Caenorhabditis elegans: one gene and its partner. The gene in region 1 interacts genetically with each later gene. Each region holds a gene or a part of one and is shown on either strand. Other genes may lie near its edges.

Region 1 (3,755 bases):
AATGAGCGTTTTTAAAAACTCGAAATGAATAGTTTTGGGTTCCACGTTATTTTTTATTTTTGTAAAAGAAAAAAACCAATCATAATTATAAAAAACAAAACAAGAACAAATTAATTTAATTTGATTGAATTAAATACACGTTCAAATAAATTTCTACCCTCAGATATACATTTTAATGAGTTCTTCTCCAACAGCTTCAGGCTTCATTGCGCCGACATCAGTAATGATCAGTGTCAGAAATTCGGGTGCGGTGTAATCCACATCGGGATGCTCCAATTCTAGGTTGTTTCTCTCAATTACTGATGTTCGATACTGAAATAATGAAAGATCTGATTGAGTTATTTGATATAAATTGATTACTTTGAATTCTTGGGGAATATCGGCCTGGTTGAGTGGGAACTCCCGTACAAACTTGATAGTTTCAGCGCAAACATAGACGGGAACATGCCGTGATTTTGCGATGATACAAACATTAACAGTTCCAATTTTATTGATGATTCCACCGGTTTCCATGACTCCTTCAGCGCCAACTAGAACTGCTTGAATTCTTTCCATGACATATCTTAAAAAATAAAAAATGTATATACGTTTTTCTTATTGTTTTTTATAATTTCCACTCACCCCACACAGCTATCTAGAACTAAAGTAGTTGGAACTCCATTCTTTTTCAATTCTTCAAACACTAGTTTTCCTGAAGCATCCGGTTGCGATTCGGTGACCCAGACATGAAGGTGATATCCACTTTTGTGAGCATCAAGAATAGTTTCCAGAACCACTTTGCTGTATGAGTGTGTCAGAATATTCTAGAAAATACAAAGATTAAAATACATTAAATAGGAATTATTTAAATAGAAAAAAAAACGTACCATATGATGAGTGAAAAATAGACGAGCGCACTTGGAAATTTTGGCTCGAGAACCTCTGACATTCTTTATAAATGAGCGTGCTCGTTGGCGATACAGATCAAGAACTTGAGAAAAATCTTCTTGATCGAGAAGAGCAGCTGGAGCCAGAGAAGTGAATCTGGTGAACAAATCAGCGGCACTTCGAATTGATGTTGAGCTGTAGTCCGTTTTCTCGAGAGCAGCAACTACTTGATTTAGCTCATTTTGAAATTCGGCAACGGTGGTGGCTGTAATTAAGCAAAAAATTAATTGCCTAAATATTCAAATTCAGGAACTTACCGCGACTCCGGTCTAAAACCTCGAGCAGTGTTTCCACTGTGGCTAGACTCGTTGATTTGCTTGGATCGTTTTCAAGTTTTCCACGGAAAGATGAAATAATGCTTTCTTGAACCATGTTAGATGGAAAAAGTCTGCAAAAACAATAATGGAGAACGTTTGTCGTAGAAAGAAGAAATATTTATAGAAAAAATTTAATGAAAAAATAATGATGTAAACGCGCTCTATCGTTACGCAGAGAAGATAAGAGTTAGAGAGTTAGACAGTTTTGATAGTGGCAAATTTAAAAACAAAACATTTTTTTACTTATGTATTTAAAAGGTTTCGTGAAATTTAATTTATTTTCTCAATCTCGAATAAACATTTTAAACATATTTTTTGAGTCAGTCAGTTTACTTTCTACTCTCAACTATTTACGCATCTAAAATCTCCCATTGTGTGGCGAACTAAATAGGATAATAAATAATAATTTTCCTTTTCGAAACTTTTATACTATAATTAATTCCCTCAATTTGCTCCATAATCTCCATTAATTTTCCTCGTGTAATTGCTTCGTAGATCATTTGAATCGCCGCCGTGATACAGTACTATTCGCTAACCTGCACATCTTAAATACCATCGACAATTTTTTAAAAATTCATTTTCCATTTTGTTCATTGATTTCTTGGTTCTTTTTCCATTATTTTTGCCTCAATTTGTGCAAAAAGTGCTGGATATCGAATAATCCACAACGCTTTTCTGTTGTTCTTTCGGTTTTTGGGCCGTTTCTAGATTTTCCTCTCCGTAATACGAATTCTCGTGGGGAAACACGTTTTCCTTGTTCTTTGATTAATTTCTTTTGTACTAACTTTTCGACAAATATTTATTTATACTTTTTACAGAATCAAGCTTGTCCGTTTCGAAAATGGAAGAAGAACCGTACAAAAGAAAGCTAACGAAAGCCGAGAAAAAGGCAAAATATCGAACAGACTACGCCGAACCGTTGAAGTCACGCCGGGAAGTTCTGAAAGCAATTATGAATGGACCCGAGTCTGAGCGGGAGAGAAAAGTTCGAGCCAAAAATCGAGAATTTTTCAACGAGGACTATAGATCAGGTAAACATTTTAAAGTTCTTTTATTATTAAAAACTTTAAAAAACCCTCATTCATAATCTATACATTTAAAGGAGTCAACATCTACGGAATGGCTGTGGATATGATGAAAGCGATGCCGGATAGAGGAAAAACATCGGGACAAAGTTTGGCGGTTTGGTATCTGGAGGATTTTGGAGTTTGGTTAAAAGAGTCGGGACAGGAGACGGAGCTCAGACAGAAATATCTGACTGGAACTATTCAAATAAACGCCTTAGATGTGTGCACAATTGGACAAAAGCAGCTTCTCAGTGAAATCTTCGATATCACCAAAGAGAAATTCACTGAGGACATTACACAGTTGCTAGATGCTGCCATCAAGAAACAAGACTTCTCCGTTGCTGCAGATATGGCTATTCAGTACAATCTTCTACGGGATCATCATTTCGAACATCTTGTTCTTCCATTAATGCTATCTGGCAAAGATCAAACGGCTTATAAATTGATAAGTAACAATGAGAGGATGCAACAGCAGCTTGTAGAGTTTTTTGATCGAATGGTTGGAATCTCAGTGGTTGCCGTTGAAGAGATGCTGAAACCCTACAAGGAAACCAAAATTATGACGATTCCTATGGAGAAATTGACGGGAAAAACGTTGGACAAACTCATTTCGACGATTATCAACAAAAATACTCACGAATACAACTTCTCCAGGGAATTGTCGAAGTTCGCCAAAAACCACTCACAGAATGGGAATCTGAAGGCATTGAAGTTTAATATCAGTGAACGATACGAGAAGGGAAAATCCGATGACAACTATTTCCAGCATATGGTTGAAACTTTTACCAAAGCCGAAGATGTTCGTGAACCTATTTTGTTTTACTTGTGGAGCTCAAATGACACCGAGAAACAGTAAGTGACATTCAAAAAGATTTTTCTTTCTAAAATTCAATTTTCAGAATAGATGCCATCTGCTTTGCTATCTACTTAGGAATCGCTAGTTCCAGCAGCTATCAACTGCCGAATGTTATGAGGGACTTCTTTCGACAACCTGATTCGAAGCTCAGAGAAGCAAAAGAACTTCTAGTGAGAAGAAAGTAATTGTTTTCGATTTCTTCGACTTTTTTAAAACCATTTTTGTTCAGAACACTGCAAGTTCCTCTAAATGGCGAACAATTATTCGTATTTGAGAATGAGCGAAGAACTCAAATCCACATGGTGAAAACTGAATCTGAGATGAATTACTTATGTTCCGAGATCAAATCACTAAGCGACGAGCCAGCACCTGTTTACGTTGGATTCGATTCTGAGTGGAAACCGTCGAATCTTACAGCTGTTCAGTAAGTGAACAATTTCATTCTTAAAATTCCATATGCACCGATTTTCAGTGACTCGAAAATTGCTATCATACAATTGTTCTTCAAAAATTGTGTATGGCTTGTGGATTGCGTAGAATTAGAAAAGGCAAATATGGCAGATGACTGGTGGCAAAAGTTCGCATCTC
Region 2 (3,755 bases), on another chromosome or scaffold:
GGAAAATGTTTAAAAATTGCTTCAAAACACTCGAAATAGCTGCGAATTTCAAGTATTTTCAGCTAAAAATCTCAAATTTCCAGCTTTTCAGTGGATAAAAACCTGAAAATATCTCTAAAAATGCGATATAAAATAGTTTTTAATCAAAACATCCATGTACCAAGACTGATCAACGCCGGTTTGTTGCTCGGACAAACGGACAGGGATCGAATGCAACGGACGACGGTATAGATGAGCTTCCGATGATCCGAGTACTCGCGAAGAATCGAAACCAAGATCTGTGGTCCCAACAGTGATAGGAATGTGATCTTCGATGGAGCATCGTCTGCAAAATTGACCGATTTTTGAAATTTTAGAGTGGAAAATTTGAATTTATAGCTTTAAAAAATGCAAATTTGTACAAAATTCTTGATTTTTCCAGTGAATCCTTACCGATCAACAGGAAATACAACCCATCCGCCACTTGAGCCAGCAGCTTCGGATTCGTCTTATGAAGGTGCGGAGTTAGCGCCTCAACGGCGTTGAGAGCTCTCGCTTGAGCTCTGGAATCAGAAACATGCATCAGAAGGTTCCGAAGTGTTGTCACAGCATAGTGAACAACTGATTCCAGTGAATCATAGAGCATTCGAATGATTTCAGCAAGCCCTCCGCTTCTGAAGATCAGAAGAGGTCCTCCACGTTGCTCAGACATGTGAGACAATGCTCCAATCGCATTCCGACGGACATTCACGTTGGAACTCTTCGACGCAGCCATCAGAGCTTCCACAAAAGATCGATGATCGAATCCCGGCGCATTGAAGAAGTTCGGATCTTCCCTTGAGAGCATATAAGCTCGATGAACAGCTCTAGCAACCACTGACTCATCATGATCGCACATAAGCTTCACTAGATCCGGAAGCGAGAGTCCTGACATATCGTTTGATCCTTCGTAGGTTAGAAGATCCATAACTGATTGCTTCAGCTGTTGAGTTGGCATTTGCATCATTTCGACGATGCTTGTAGTTGAATTTGTGGCTTCTGCAGCAGAAGTTGGTGGAATCCAGTCGGGGAACATCGCTGAGCGGATTCTAGAGGTTCGAGTTTCGACTTCATGGTCTGGAAATTAATTTAAATGAAGAAATTTCGAAAAAATTGTATTTTTTTGTGTTTTACCAGTGAATATCGAATAAGAGTTGGTAGAGTGAAGAAGCATGGTTGTTGGGAGTTCACAGCTACTGAAAATTATACTTTTTAAAGGAAATGGTGAGTTTTAGACGAGAAAATGCAAAGAAATTCGATATTTTAGGTGCTGAAACTATCAAATTTCATGTGGGAGCAGAGAAAAGTCATTTTAAACAGGAAAAATCCACAAAAACTAAGATTTTTTTAAAATTAAATTTAAATTTAATAAATTTATTTCGAGTGGAAAAGTGCGAAAAATCGAAATTTAGAGTAGAAAATTTAAAAAAAAATAGGATTTCTAGTTGAAAATTGAGGAATAATCGCATTTTTCGAATCAGATACTAGCTAAAAAGGAATTTTTACTTTTATGGCTATTTTGAAAAACATTCCACTATTTTGATACTGCAATCGTCAAAATACGAGGTTTCAGGTAGAAAATCGAGAAAAATCGCATTTTTTGAATCGGAAACTAGCTGAAAACGCAAAATAAAGATTATCACTTGGAATTTGTGCTTCTGTGGCGATTTTAAAGGAAAATTATTCTATTTTTGGTGTTGCAACTGTCAAAATACGTGGTTTCAGGTAGAAAATTTAGAAAAATGGGTTTTTTCGAATCGGAAACTAGATGAAAACGCAAAAACAAGATTTTCACTAGGACTTTGGATTTTTAAGGATATTTTATACCGATAAATTCCTCTATTTTTGGTACCGCAACCGTCCAAATATGAGAATAATCGCATTTTTCGAATCTGAAACTGCCGAATAGATAATTAGAGCTGGTTAAAACAGCTTAAAAACACATAAAAATCAAGAATACGAGGATTTAAAAACCAGTGTGAAACGATTTATATGCCTGTGCGGTGATAATACCAGAAAGAGATCTCAAAAAAAACGAGAAACAGGAGAAAAAAGAAAATATTGAGATAACAAAGAAGAAACCGTAGTACTTTAATACATTTTTTTTCGAGATTTTCCGAGATAATCCGAGAATTCCTTCCATCACCAGAGGGAAGTTTTGACGAATGAAGTGATCGAACTGAACCATCCGCCCTCTTGACCACTTCCATGGGCAGCCATCTCATTAGTTATCACACAACTTGCCGGATCCACGTGAAGCACATCATCATCCAAATATTCGGGGTAATCTTTCGAGTTTTCCGTGATTTTGCCCATCTCTGACGCGTAAAACTCGAATTTCTCGTCGATTCCGTTCACTTTCACTAACTGCGCGACGTACTCGAATCCGGCGGCGGCGAAAACGGACTGCGCAATGTCCTTGGCTTCGATTGTCGGGATTGTGCGGAGCACGGCGCGTGGAATTGAGTTCTGCTCGGTTATATATACACTGATTACTCCTTTTTTCTTCAGAAGGCCTCTCTCAACTGACAGCTTCTTCGTTTCATCGAATTCCTCCGCATCGAATTCCATAATAATCTGCTTTGACTTTCTTCCAACGAATTTTCGGTGAAGAGTTCCGCCCTTGTCGAGCTCTTTGATCGCATCGGCTAGAGGCTCTTTCTCGGCTCTTTTGGCATCCAGCGAATTCTTCACTACTCGAATCCTACTCGAGACAAGGACCAAGTTATAGTTGACACTGGGATTTGTGATATTTTCGCAGGCTTCCGACAATGCTGGAAGTAAATCTGCGGATTTCAGCAGTTGCTCGATGTTCCCCGACTGCTCTGTGAGCAAAACGAGGATTTTAACCGTGTATCTGATGACATCGGAGCTTTCGTCCTTGAGGAGCGTTGGGAGAGTGTGGAAAAATGTTTTGTCCTGGAAGAAATTTAATTTTCATGTGAATCCTGAGTGAGCTAACGACTTACCTTAAGCACGACTGCTCGATTCTCCGGCTTTTGGCACAGCTTGTAGTACGCGCGAATCGTTTTTATTTTGTCGGCATTTACGACTTCAGTCATTCTGAAATAAAAACCTTGATTTTTAACGAAAATTTCGATTTTGAACGACAAACTTTAACGCAAACAACCAGAATAGCGATGAAATACTCAATTCTAAATGTGAAAAACAAAAAGTGGATAAAAATCGATAAATTGAGGGGAAAAGAGAAAATGGAAACAAAAGAAAATGTGGGCGGAGTCACACGATGAGGCATACCGCAAGTGGTGCGCACACATTTTGCAAAGGGCTCGCACACAGTTTTCCTTCTCAATAATTATTACTCGCCATTTGGGACGCGAAGTCTATGCCAAAAAAAATTTAACGCATCATGCACATTTTGAGGGAAAAAAATAAATTACGAAAATAGTATTATGTAAAATATGAAAAAAAAAAAGAAAACAAATTCCACCCTAAAATTTTCGCCATTTTCAATTTTTTGAAGCTGCAGCCTGAAAACTAAAAGATACCGAGTGGGAAAGTGGAAACATTGCCGTTTTTGAATATGAAACAAACATTTCAGCGAAGATACATTACAAACCCTTTTAAAACAACATAGGAAAACCAATAATCACAGAAACATCAATCAAAAATGCGAAAAAAATATGAAAAATCGGTATTTGGCTGAAAAAAAAAATTTTCAATCGAAAACTTGCTAAGCCAATGAAACTGAATACAATGTTGGGATTAAATAATAT

What was found. A genetic interaction does not mean that the proteins touch.
Region 2: of mut-7 (region 1) and hmp-2, a change in one rescues a mutant of the other (synthetic rescue), as found in Caenorhabditis elegans (one study listed by BioGRID).

What each region holds. Positions count from the first base shown.
Region 1 is NC_003281.10:9,540,686-9,544,440, reverse strand, and holds the start of mut-7 (Exonuclease mut-7), read left to right. Parts: upstream 1-2,060; 5' UTR 2,061-2,085; coding exon 2,086-2,275; intron 2,276-2,346; coding exon 2,347-3,163; intron 3,164-3,210; coding exon 3,211-3,348; intron 3,349-3,396; coding exon 3,397-3,591; intron 3,592-3,639; coding exon 3,640-3,755. Other genes in the region: eif-2Balpha (Translation initiation factor eIF2B subunit alpha), read right to left, coding at 160-312, 361-562, 622-803, 867-1,132, 1,185-1,299. UniProt on the Caenorhabditis elegans protein: Represses the transposition of Tc1, Tc3, Tc4, and Tc5, perhaps by degrading transposon-specific messages.
Region 2 is NC_003279.8:14,737,028-14,740,782, reverse strand, and holds the start of hmp-2 (Armadillo/beta-catenin-like repeat protein), read right to left. Parts: upstream 1,902-3,755; coding exon 1,846-1,901; intron 1,215-1,845; coding exon 1,153-1,214; intron 1,096-1,152; coding exon 433-1,095; intron 326-432; coding exon 161-325; intron 1-160. Other genes in the region: K05C4.7 (Armadillo repeat-containing protein 1), read right to left, coding at 2,161-2,937, 2,988-3,080. UniProt on the Caenorhabditis elegans protein: Required for cell migration during body enclosure and cell shape changes during body elongation. Plays a role in recruitment of the cadherin protein hmr-1 to adherens junctions.